2 linked regions of the Caenorhabditis elegans genome follow. The protein of the gene in region 1 purifies or fractionates together with the protein of each later gene. This does not show direct contact. Each region holds a gene or a part of one and is shown in the gene's direction. Other genes may lie near its edges.

Region 1 (7,382 bases):
CGTTGACGATGTCACTACCAAAGATAAAATGATATCATTGGGGAATGATGGGAGCAGATAAAGGGCCGCCGATATTTGATGGCGCGACAAAGAAAAGAGAGGTGGTCGTCGTCATCACTTTTCAAATTTTCTTCGCACTTTTGGGCGCAATCCAGTAGGTTCTTATTTTTTTTCTATTTCATGAACTCAATGCTTTCATGAAACTATTGATGTTAATAACGGTAAAGTAGAGAATCGTGGCTTCGATTTTTTCCCCGAGTTTTCAAAACAATTTTCAATAAACATGATGTGTTTTTTTTTCGAAACTACTTTTAAACATACATTTTTTCTATCCTTTAACTAGTCAGTTTTCAGAATGATTTCGCTTTCCGATCCTTCAAGAATTGATCCACACATCTTGAAGGTTATCAAAGAACAGCTGATTTTGTTGCTTCATGCAAATGTGTGCACCAAAAGAGACAGGGTAATGTTTTGAATCTGTTTATATCATAATTAAATGGTTGTCTATCATTTCTGGAAATATGCCAAAGTTAGAAGATAGCTAGATTGAAACGCGAAACAAAAAATTGCAACAGTGGCGGACCCTATTATGAATTTTCTATGCATACTATTAGTGACGGTTCACAAAAAAATCAAGTATAGGCTCCATCTCCATCTGAACGTTTTTCGTTTTCTAATAACATTTCATAACTTCGGAAAGCAATGTTCATACCCAGTCAGATATTTCATTGAGTGACCGTAGCAACGGAAGGTCTGGAAATTAATCTTGGCTCACACGTGAAGTGAAAAAAATATAAAAACTGTAAGGTTATGTTTTAAGAGTAGTCAATTTTTGTGGTGAATTTTCATCAACAATGGTTAATATTTTGCGTCGACTGACTAATAAGATTTTCAGGAGAATTACCAAGCCGCGATCAATGGTCAACCTGCTCGTCATCCACGCTGCGATCTTCCCAGTTGCGGACTCTTCAAATACACGCTTTCTCATTTGAACATGTGCACGAACGGATCGCATTGTCTCAGTATGTTCATTTATTTAATTTTCAAAAGGGACAACTTTTTTTCAATGAAGCATCATTAGACACTAAAGCGACCCCAAAACAGAGGAGGTTCAGTTTCCAGTTCGATTAAAAAACTCCAACAAAATGTAAAAACATACATTGTTTCCCACATACGACACGTCGTGAATGACAAAAAAACCACAAAAGCTATTAAGATTCTATTACCTATTTTTATAAGATTTCAATAATATACCCTACCCTTTTAACCTTACTTAAATTTCAGTTGATTACTGTAACACCTCGAAGCAACTCATCAAACACTGGCGTGAGTGCCAAAATCGTGCTTGTGCAATTTGTGCTCCACTAAGAAGACTTCAAACATTTGGTGGTAGCTAAAGGTAAAAGTAATGACATATGCCAAACTTCAATTTTGATTTGTCTCCCACCATGATCTTCTAATTGTTACTTATTGTTCTGTTTTGTTTTTTATGCATTTAGCGATTGATAAAATGTTCACAGATACTGCTGTTTCGTTTACCGGTCGATTTTGATGGATTTCTTGTTTATTATTTTCAGATTCAGAAAACCAGACGGTCAACTCTAATAGTTTCCTTTTCAAGCGTACAGGAGTTTGTAAACAACATGGCAAACAGAGATGTGCGACTGGCTGATTTTGTCGGCTGTCGGCTGTCGCCAACAGCCGACACCTAGCAATGTTTCGGCTGTCGACTGGCGCTGCCAGCCGACTGAGCTTTATGGTTAAGTTTTGTCGCTAAACTGTATTTTTGCACGTTGCTTTCTTGAAGTGTTTCGGAGCAATTAAGCATACTTTTAGTACAAAAACAAGGTATAGCAAACTTTTTAATCACTTTATCCAACAAAAATAACCACATCGGCTTACTTTTTTCATATATAAAACTTGCAACTAGTGTTCAAATATATCAAAAATCAGTTAATTTTTTTTTAAACCGCCAGCCGAAAACTCTAACTCAAAGGTCGGCTGGCTGCGCCAGCCAACATTAGATTATCAGTCGGCTGTCGGCTGGCGCTACCAGCCGAAAAATCCAATTTTTCGGCTGTCGGCTGGCTGCGCCAGCCGACAGCCGTACATCCCTGATGGCAAACAAACAAACAAACTCACCAACGGGACCTCCCTCCTTTTCTCCCTCCATCTTTACACCATCCGCCGAGAGAGCATGTGAATTTGGGAGGGCGGAAAAGAAAGCGGGGAGGAATAACAAGGTCCGCATGTTTACGTCAATTGTGTTGCACTGTATTGCATGGCGGGAAGAAAAAGGCGCGGTCTTTTTGCTAAACACTACATTAGCATAGACATTTTGTTTTCTTGTGTTTGAGTTGGCATTTTAGTTTCGCTTTCCAATTCAATTTCAATACTTTGATTTATTTAACCTTGATTAACCCTACGATTTCTTGTGAATTTTATGTATATGAAACGTTTCAAAATTAACTATTTTTGAAGGGTAAATTATTGCAACCACGTCTTTATCGGATCACAAGATTTGTATCAATATCTATGCTGTGATGACTACTGTTTCTAAGCCTGATGAGTCGTCTTTTGATGTTCGAACCTTGTCGATGAAAACCTGCGGCTCCCGTCTTTGTGTGGGATTTTGCTATTGCTCGGGAGTGGTGAAGTTCCGCAAGTCAGAGTCGGTGGGAACTGTGGACATTCCTTTCCCAAGTCTTGGAGCTTGTCCATCTTTAACTTTGTCAATGTCCCCAAACATGAACTTTTCTTCAAGAATGGCTTTGGCTCCCACATCGCCAATGAAGCGTTCAAAATCGGTAAGTTCAAGCACAATATTTGTAGTGCACGACTCTTGCAGTCTGTTTTTAGTCTAGTGTTATTTTTAATTCGTTTTTCAGGTACCGAATATTCTTTCTGGTGAATATCCGAATTCCGTTTGTGTCGTTGCCAATTCAATCGATGAAAACGGAGATGCAGGTGTAGACGTTACGGATTGTGCTTCTACAAAGCCACTGGTTCTTGGAAAAGACAATTATCAAGACAACTACTGGGATTCTCAAGAGACGAATCATCGTAATGCCGATATGAAGACTCCAAAGAAAAAAGTTGGAAAAATTTCGGTTCGCATTTAACTTTAACTATTTATAGCATTTATACTGTACTTTTTGCAGAAATTTGTCAACATCTGCGTTTCTGAATTGAAGAAATTCAAGAATCCGAACTCTGGTGTCACATCGATTGATGGTGTTGAAAGGTTGAAGAAGGAGGTTGGTTCCACAGCTATAACGTTTTACTTTGGTATATAAAATACATATTTTCAGATTGCTCCTCTTCCCTCTAGCCCACTCAAGCTCACATCTACATCTACAATCGAGTTTCAGTCAACTGTCACTTCTAGTTCACCAATAATGAGATCTCGTGAAACTACGTCAACTATTCAAAGATCGAAAATAATTTCTTCTACTACAAAGGTCATGTCAGACATGTTGATGGATAAAGAAGGAAAGGATTCAGAAATCTCTGAAAACAGTATCAACTGCTCTACAAACTTGGCTGTCAATAAGATGGGCGATGTGCCATCTCTTTCACAATTTGAGGATGCAGATGGACTCCAGAAGAAGTTGACTGAGCCAGTGGAACTGCCAGCCAAGAGCCAAGAGGTGTACCAATATGATGTTTCTGCCAGCCCAGCCAAAGAGGATCTGAAGTGGAGTACTCTGAAGAAAATTGATCTGATTGTCCCTTCGTTCAGATCAAAGAAACGAGGACTTGTCGCACATTTGAAGAGTTCCCCAATAAGTAAGATCAGTTATGATGGTTCGCCAAGCAAACAAGTTGGTGTGTTGGATGGTGAGATTACTGACGATGGGAGAATTGATTCTGGCCCGGCTAAAGCCATTATTCCAACATCGACTGAAAATATCATTATGCCAAAGGAATTGAATATTTCTGATATTGGAGAAAAAGCAGAAGTATCTCGTGGTTTGCGAAAGCGTCATTTGGAAGATAGTTCTACTCCTTCATCTCGAGGACCGTCTACTCCTGCAAAACTCATCACTGATGAAGATGCGACCAACAAAAAGAAGCGCGTTCTCGGTAAAAACATGGTGGATAACAAAGCCTCTTCTCCCAACAAAGAACACATCTTACCAATTGACCAGCTCAATAACAGTTCTGCGATGGGAATCAGCAGTGAGAACACTGCACCAATGGAGTTGAAAGCTACTGGAAATGACCCGGTCTCGGATGGAGGTGGATACAAGTTTCTTGTAACTGCCGAAACTGGACGGAAGTTCGATGAGTTCAGAGCTAAGCGACAAAGACTTCGTGAATCGTGGATGGAGAATAAATCTCCAACTTCGAACAAAAATGTTCAAACTACTGCTGTTACTAGTGGTTTCCAATCAAATGAGCAAGCTCCGGAAAACCTTCCTGCCACAATGGAATGTTTGAATAAGGAAGCTGCAACTACTCCAATGAATGACAATCGTGCTTTGTTGACAGAAGTTGGGCCAGAAGCTGCACTTGCTGAACCAAAACTGGGCAAGCCACTGTTGCCAGTTGAGAATGTGTTGCAGTATTCAAAGTCTCCATCAAAGACAGCTGTCACTAACAAGCCGACAAAAACCGTTCTCAAAGCAAATTTCAATGCTCCAATTGGAAAGATCAACTCGGACATCAGCTTTTTCACTCCAAAGGTGAGTAGTATTTTGATATGTTGTTTAATTGACAATTGTGATTTTTTCAGAAGGTGTTTGGGAAGAGCGAGTATCAATACGGACCATCAATGGGCAAACTGATTCAAATGATGGGTACTGGAACTCCAAAGAAGGTGTTGCCAGAGTTTGGATCGTCTTCAAAGACTGCATTATTCTCGCCACGAAAAGAAGAACATTGTGCTGGTGCTCCACGTGGTTCATGGAAGATTGCAAAAATGCGTGTACGCACCAAACTGTCCAACTTCTATCCATCAAGCCGCTCTAAAAATTCGCAGCAAATTCGCGGGAAATGGTTGGGACAGAATATTGTTCAGTTCTCGGGTCATCATTCCATGATTGCTCAGTCTGCAAACGACAAGCACGGAGCCAATTTGATGGAGGTTAATGTACACTGAACACATTTCAATTTACAACAAATCATTTCAGATTTCTGCTCAACCATCTACATCTACCACTGCCCAAAACATCTAGAACAAACAAACAAGAATCGATACAGTTTGAAAATGTTTTGAATCTGACTATTTATTTCGCTTTTTGACCCATATTCCCTTTCTATTAAAGTTTTTTTCCATAGTTGTAATCAAATACATTTGCTTTGGCATTAGTCAAAGTTTTTGTTTATTGTCTCCTAATATTCCCAATAAGTATTATCGTAATTACTTTTAATTCTAATTGGTTATAAGATTGTTTTATCATATCCGTTTTGTATAATTTGAATTCTATGCGAAGAATAAATTGAGTGCAGGTTTCGATTAAAAGTTCTCTAGACGTATCCCATGGTTGGTGATCTATATGGAGCTGCCGAAATCCTTGTAACAGGCCGTTCAATACCATCGGCAAGTAACAGGCATGATCTTGCCGAAAGGAACCCAATTTTGATGCCATAGTCGAAACGCATAATCGAGGAAATTTAATACATATTTTAAAAACAAATTCAACCATCCAAATAATTATTTACTGATTTAGTCAATACAATAGTTCCGTCAACAAGTTAAAACCTATTTAAAAACAATTTTATTAATAAAAAAAATTTAGTCCGACATTACTATGACATGAAGTAATGTACGCAGTTTCCGATTGTCAATCTTTCAATCTTACTTGTGAGTGTTCGTATTTCTTTACAAATTCCGTCATTCCATATTATAAACGGTTTAGATCCTGAAAATGTATATATTGGTATATTGACATATTGGCATGTTGTTAATTCAATTATCAGACATAATAAAGTTTGTTAATCTATCAAGTTTGATTTCGTCTACAGAAAACTTACTTGCAAATAAAACTCTTTACTCTTCACAAATATGCTGTTCAAAGCAGTTGTTGTTACAAACAGTGTGATCCTGTACAGAATCGACTTTGGTATTTGACATATTATTTGAAAGCGCGGTTCCTGTTATGATTCGTTGACTGCATTTGCCGAAAAGTTTCAAAAAGAGGCTTCTCCGTGATTTATTTTTTGCAATTCTTCTGAAAATGCAATTTAATTTGATCTGAACTTAGCCAGTTGCTCACTTGAAAGATTATTGGAATACGAAGTGCCAAATGAATTTATTTTTCGATTGGAAAATCCATTGTGCAAATCAAATCAAGCTTGACATTTTGAAAAAAATCAAGTTTAATTGAACTCGGCGACCCTAGCCATAGAGTCCTGCCGAGCGGAACCCAAGTTTTCTGTAAAATAAATTTAATTGTAAAAGAGTATTGGAAAAAAATAAAATAAAAAACAACGGAAGACTGTTCTCTAGTAGATGCAAAACGTGGATGCCAAAAAGAATATTCTCGAGAAAACAGGAAAGGTCAGAAAGTATATTGTTGGCGCAGAAAACGAGAAAACGATGAAGCTATTTTGAAGACATATAAACCCCCATCGAAGGGCAACGAGAGACATAGAGAAAAAAAGCAAATTTATATTTCAGTTTTTTGAGCTGCTGTCAACAAACGCATAATATTTAGAAGAGGGTGAGACAACAAACAAGAAACTGTAGCAAAACGGAACAAAGATAGGAACATTGAAAAATAGGCAAAAAAAAAGAGAAATATAAATATTATTCTGTTATTTTTGCACCGAAAGAAGTTGAGTGATTCTAAGTACAAAATCACTTCATTTTTCAAATTTTATGACAAAGCGTAGCTCCTTCGTATTTGTTTTCAAACAAGTTAGATAGAGAAATATATGGATTATTTTAGAAACATTTCGTTTGACTAATTGGTGATGAAAAGCAATTCTTAGTCGAGTTTTTAAATTGACGTTTCCAACTTCAGAAATTTTGTGATTTAATTTTTAAAACAAGCAATAATCTCTCAAGCAACTTTTTGCTAACAACTACGTTTAATAAATATATATTACACAAGATACACAAGATATTTAGTGGGTATATAACATAAAACGGGTCAGGTGGTTTCCTTAGTGGCGCGGTGAAACATTGCCCCTGCATTTCATTGGATGATAAGTGGGACAGCGTTGCTGCGGCGAGTGTATTTATGAAACAGAAAAATGGGAGGAGAACATTGAAAATTAATGGAAACGGAGTTAGTGACAATATATCACAAGCGAGTTATTTGAAAGGTGTTTGAAAATTTCATATGTTCAAATTTTAGTTGACGCTGACTATTTTACAAGATTCTATCTGACTAGGGCTGTGCAATCGGACGTCCGGCGTCCGGATGCGTGTG
Region 2 (6,103 bases), on another chromosome or scaffold:
CCAGAGAGTAAAATAATTGGTGAAGCCAGAGAGTAAAATAATTGGTGAGGCCAGAGAGTAAAATAATTAGTGAAGCCAGAGAGTAAAATAATTAGTGAAGCCAGAGAGTAAAATAATTGGTGAAGCCAGAGAGTAAAATAATTAGTGAAGCCAGAGAGTAAAATAATTGGTGAAGCCAGAGAGTAAAATAATTGGTGAAGCCAGAGAGTAAAATAATTGGTGAAGCAGAGAGTAAAATAATTGGTGAGGCCAGAGAGTAAAATAATTAGTGAAGCCAGAGAGTAAAATAATTGGTGAAGCCAGAGAGTAAAATAATTAGTGAAGCCAGAGAGTAAAATAATTGGTGAAGCCAGAGAGTAAAATAATTAGTGAAGCCAGAGAGTAAAATAATTGGTGAAGCCAGAGAGTAAAATAATTGGTGAAGCCAGAGAGTAAAATAATTGAGTAATTTATTTGGTGAAGCCAGAGAGTAAAATAATTGGTGAAGCCAGAGAGTAATTTATTTGGTGAAGCCAGAGAGTAAAATAATTGGTGAAGCCAGAGAGTAAAATAATTGGTGAAGCCAGAGAGTAAAATAATTGGTGAAGCCAGAGAGTAAAATAATTGGTGAAGTCAGAGAGTAATTTATTTGGTGAAGCCAGAGAGTAAAATAATTGGTGAAGCCAGAGAGTAATTTATTTGGTGAAGCCAGAGAGTAATTTATTTGGTGAAGCCAGAGAGTAAAATAATTGGTGAAGCCAGAGAGTAAAATAATTGGTGAAGCCAGAGAGTAATTTATTTGGTGAAGCAAGAGAGTAATTTATTTGGTGAAGCCAGAGAGTAAAATAATTGGTGAAGCCAGAGAGTAAAATAATTGGTGAAGCCAGAGAGTAAAATAATTGGTGAAGCCAGAGAGTAATTTATTTGGTGAAGCCAGAGAGTAAAATAATTGGTGAAGCCAGAGAGTAAAATAATTGGTGAAGCCAGAGAGTAAAATAATTGGTGAAGCCAGAGAGTAAAATAATTGGTGAAGCCAGAGAGTAAAATAATTGGTGAAGCCAGAGAGTAATTTATTTGGTGAAGCCAGAGAGTAAAATAATTGGTGAAGCCAGAGAGTAAAATAATTGGTGAAGCCAGAGAGTAAAATAGTTGGTGAAGCAGAGAGTAAAATAATTGGTGAAGCCAGAGAGTAATTTATTTGGTGAAGCCAGAGAGTAAAATAATTGGTGAAGCCAGAGAGTAAAATAATTGGTGAAGCCAGAGAGTAATTTATTTGGTGAAGCCAGAGAGTAATTTATTTGGTGAAGCCAGAGAGTAATTTATTTGGTGAAGCCAGAGAGTAATTTATTTGGTGAAGCCAGAGAGTAATTTATTTGGTGAAGCCAGAGAGTAAAATAATTGGTGAAGCCAGAGAGTAATTTATTTGGTGAAGCCAGAGAGTAAAATAATTGGTGAAGCCAGAGAGTAAAATAATTGGTGAAGCCAGAGAGTAATTTATTTGGTGAAGCCAGAGAGTAAAATATTTGGTGAAGCCAGAGAGTAAAATAATTGGTGAAGCCAGAGAGTAATTTATTTGGTGAAGCCAGAGAGTAAAATAATTGGTGAAGCCAGAGAGTAAAATAATTGGTGAAGCCAGAGAGTAAAATAATTGGTGAAGCCAGAGAGTAAAATAATTGGTGAAGCCAGAGAGTAAAATAATTGGTGAAGTCAGAGAGTAATTTATTTGGTGAAGCCAGAGAGTAAAATAATTGGTGAAGCCAGAGAGTAAAATAATTGGTGAAGCCAGAGAGTAAAATAATTGGTGAAGCCAGAGAGTAATTTATTTGGTGAAGCCAGAGAGTAAAATAATTGGTGAAGCCAGAGAGTAAAATAATTGGTGAAGCCAGAGAGTAAAATAATTGGTGAAGCCAGAGAGTAAAATAATTGGTGAAGCCAGAGAGTAAAATAATTAGTGAAGCCAGAGAGTAAAATAATTGGTGAAGCCAGAGAGTAAAATAATTGGTGAAGCCAGAGAGTAAAATAATTGGTGAAGCCAGAGAGTAAAATAATTGGTGAGGCCAGAGAGTAAAATAATTAGTGAAGCCAGAGAGTAAAATAATTAGTGAAGCCAGAGAGTAAAATAATTAGTGAAGCCAGAGAGTAAAATAATTGGTGAAGCCAGAGAGTAAAATAATTAGTGAAGCCAGAGAGTAAAATAATTAGTGAAGCCAGAGAGTAAAATAATTGGTGAAGCCAGAGAGTCTGTGAAGTTGTGTCCGCCCTTTGAATACCTCTTTCACTTCACTGAGTTTCATGTTAACGCATTTTATTTTGCAATACATAATGCTATTCAATTCAGAGATTTAAGTGATATTTGGGATGTTTCCGATGAATTGTTCATAAGGAGATGTTGAGATGAATATGTTTATTATTCTTCAATAAATACATTTCTGATCAACCTCTTCAAGTGGAGTACATTTGCTTTTTCAATAGCCCAAAACTGCCGAATTTTGTAATGAGACGCTGTTTACCCTTATGTATTTCTTCACAGCCCATACGATGAGACAAATCCAATTTTCCTCCATTTTTGCCAAATATTTTCCTATTAAAATACAACATATTTTGAGGAGCTTAAGAATGAGCAATTGTACCATAAACGTCATATAAAATTAATACTTGTTTACATCGTTCAATTTTACTGTTTCTTATCACTTGTACAATTCCTCAGCTCTAAATTCAACCTATAAAAACTCTGTTGGGGTTTCATTCATTATTTTTTAAATTTTATTTTCCTCTTGCTGGTTGAAATGTATTTTTGCTGATAATGGAGCAAGAGTCTAAGATTGCCACATTTTACGATTTGCCTAAAAGCTTCATTAGCGACGCTGTAAGCAGAATTGATATTGTTGATAGGTATTTAAACTAATTAACAACTAATTGTAATGAGAATATTTCAGATTGGTGGTTCAAAAGTTGTCCAAATATTTGAGAGCTATCGTTTTTGGCCTTCCACCGTTGAAGTTAAAACTTAATCTGGAAATAGATGCTCGTCTAATAAAGACAATGTTCAACAATTGTGAAGCGGAGTACGTCAACATCTACGATGAATACACAGGTGTTTGTAGAGTGCGGTCAACCAAAACATTCGAGGGAAACTACTTACAAACAGCTCTCAATGATATAAAAATGATAGCCAAAAATAATGCGACAGAATTGTATTTTTCCTCACTTGAAAAATCGAACAAATTGGGCGCAAGCCTGTACGAAGACTCGGAAAATGCCGGAGCAGAAGAGATGAATATTAGTTCGGGGACAATCGAGTTTAAGGACTTTTACCACAAGGAGATTGCCACAATTCTATCCTATTTCAAAAAAGGAGTGTTTGAACAAATCATCTTTCGCGGTTGCAAGTCCGATGGAGGCATGGAGCAAATTTACAAACTCGAGCCGTGGAGAATGGCAAAAAACTTTTTCTCAGAATGGGACGTCGAATTGAATGGTAGTCTTTTGCATTTTTTTCATTTTACCGGGTTTATAATTCACATTAACACCATCACAGACGAAATGGCAATGGAAATTAGAGATGTGAGCGTGTTTTTTTAAAGGTGGAGTAGCGCCAGTAGGGAAATTGCTTTAAAACACGCTTACCACAATGACCAAATATTATAGTTAAAAATTTTTTTAAAAATTTCTCAATTTTATATGATTTTTTGAAAATTGTAAAAATCTCGAATTGCATCAAATTCCTATTTTTTACCGCCACGCTTGCATTATTTTAACTTTTATTTATTAATTTTTCTTATTTTGATTGATTTTTCATGTTTTTTGAGTAATTTTACTGGAAATTTAATGAAAAATTCAAGATAAATGTAATTTTTTTATTAAAAAGCGGGCGCTAAAGCCTAAATCTTTGAAATAGATTATTTCAGGCTCAACGTCGTTGAGAAACGTACTATCTCTGTTTTCAATTATTTTTAGTAAAAAATGTACATTTATCTTGAATTTTTCATTAAATTTTCAGTAAAATTACTCAAAATAAACATGAAAAATCAATCAAAAATAAGAAAAATTGATAAATAAAAGTATATGCAAGCGCGCTCCATCGAACATCGAACTATTGGCGGTAATTCAAATAGGAATTTGATGCAATTCGATATTTTTTCAATTTTCAAAAATCATATAAAATTTAGAAAATTTTTTTAAATTTTTTTACTATGATATTTGGTCATTGTGGTATTATAGGCATGTTTTAAAGCAATTTCCCCACTGGCGCTACTCCACCTTTACTCTTTTGTTCTAGTTGAACAATTCAATTTTTCTCAGATTCTGTTCAAACGCGAGATTTTCGAATGGTGTGACATTCATTGCAATTCATCCGACTTTTCTCCACGTAAACTTGCTAAAGTGTTTCAAGCAGACTATATTGGTGGCGACAGTTTTCAAGTTAACTACTCCAACGACATCTCCAATTTTAGAATTATTTCGGAACTTTATGTCATTCGACCTACAAGCGACAAACCACAAACTAAAGACTGGTGGAGAGTTGTAATCAGAAAAGAAGGAATACCATGATCAATTTTTTTGCATTTTCACTTCGTAAAATGTTTTTAAATATCAATGTATACTGTTACATTATATATAAAAAAGGATTCTTCACATATTATGATTTATTGAAAACCGTTTTTTTTTAATTTCAAACTTCCATTTTTCGACCATATCCAAATAGTTTTTACAATGCATTCCAAATTTTGATTTCCCATTTGAATAATAAAGTTCAAAATCATCGCCACCAATCCGATTAAAATGCTCTTGCAACTTCAACAGGCTTGAAATTAGAGTTCATAATGAAAATAGAGCACAAATAAAGTTGGTTCAAACGGAGAAAATGTTTTTATTGAATTGAATTCAACTAGACTAAACTCTGGATATGTTTATATAACCATACTGTACTTCAAACGAGAATTTAGAATTTCCACTAGAATATTCGAATTTAGACTTGATGGTGTCATCGGATGGAAGTTCAGTTATAGTCTGAAATATTTCCGTCATCACAGGTAGTGTCCAACATTTTATATCGCAGCCGGTAAAATGTTCGTTTTTTAGAAGGATCTGCAAGAATTTTTTTTCAGTTGAACATTGTACAGTGCGCGTCAATGCTATAGGACCCCCCTCATTTTTCCGATATTGGGAAACTGAAAAATTTCCATGAAAAATTTTTGTGATATCCGGATTCAGCATGCCAAAAAACCTGTGTTCCTGTATTTTCACGAGTTTATCATTAAAACTGTAGACACACGGCAAATATTTCAAAAATTCAGTGCAAAAAATCTTGGAAATGCACTGTGAATTGAGAATATGAATTCCGTCAACTGTAGGTTTTTCCGCAAAGTTTTGGAGCAAGCAACGTTTATGGTACCTGTAGTGTAAAATGTGGGCTTCATTTTTTGAGTACTTTCTAAAAGATGTATCAAGCAGGAATATGCTTGAATATGTGCTTCATGAAATAATATAAGCTCAAGCTCATAAGTTACTTGTGAGCTTCTCGTTGAGCTTCAACGTCTAAAAATGTGAGAAAATAGTTAAAATGAAGATTCCGATCGTTACAAAAGTGGAAAACAGAACAAAATTGAGCTAATAACCAGATTTAAAACAGTTCTCAATCTTATTTTTTTGAAAATGGTCAAAAAGTCCGAGATTTTCAGTGAAAATTTTCGAAAATCTCAGGAGGTCCTATAGCAGTGACGCGGCCTAATTTTTGAAATATTACCCGTGTGTCTACAGTTTTAATGATAAACTCGTGAAAATACAGAAACACAGGTTTTTTGACATGCTGAATCCGGATATCACAAAAGTTTTTCATGAAAAATTGTCAGTTTCTCACTATTGAAGAAAATACGGGGGGTCCTATAGCCTTGACGCGCACTGTATAAAGCCTACTTCTCACCTCTTCAATCTTCCTAGCATCTTGAGCTGAAATCGTGAGCACTGTAATTGAAAACCACTTGCAATGAAAAAAAGATTCAATTGACACCGAGCTTGTGTCAAATCCCTTATATGGATTCAAGTGTAGACGTTTCGCCTTCTTCCACTGCTCCAATACAGTGATCTCCTCAAACTTGTTGAATTCCTCTTCATCATTATTTAT

Evidence for each region. Proteins that work in one complex are often made in the same cells at the same time.
Region 2: the proteins of C49F5.6 (region 1) and fbxa-75 fractionate together in Caenorhabditis elegans (co-fractionation; one large-scale study listed by BioGRID). This does not show direct contact.

The regions. Positions count from the first base shown.
Region 1 is NC_003284.9:11,985,833-11,993,214, forward strand, and holds C49F5.6 (Dentin sialophosphoprotein-like), read left to right. Parts: upstream 1-2,481; 5' UTR 2,482-2,543; coding exon 2,544-2,807; intron 2,808-2,888; coding exon 2,889-3,110; intron 3,111-3,161; coding exon 3,162-3,257; intron 3,258-3,311; coding exon 3,312-4,688; intron 4,689-4,738; coding exon 4,739-5,089; intron 5,090-5,135; coding exon 5,136-5,180; 3' UTR 5,181-5,460; downstream 5,461-7,382. Other genes in the region: C49F5.5 (histone acetyltransferase), read left to right, coding at 356-463, 896-1,022, 1,285-1,397.
Region 2 is NC_003281.10:1,300,932-1,307,034, forward strand, and holds fbxa-75 (DUF38 domain-containing protein), read left to right. Parts: upstream 1-2,782; coding exon 2,783-2,871; intron 2,872-2,915; coding exon 2,916-3,543; intron 3,544-4,281; coding exon 4,282-4,530; downstream 4,531-6,103. Other genes in the region: fbxa-79 (F-box domain-containing protein), read right to left, coding at 4,873-5,067, 5,903-6,103.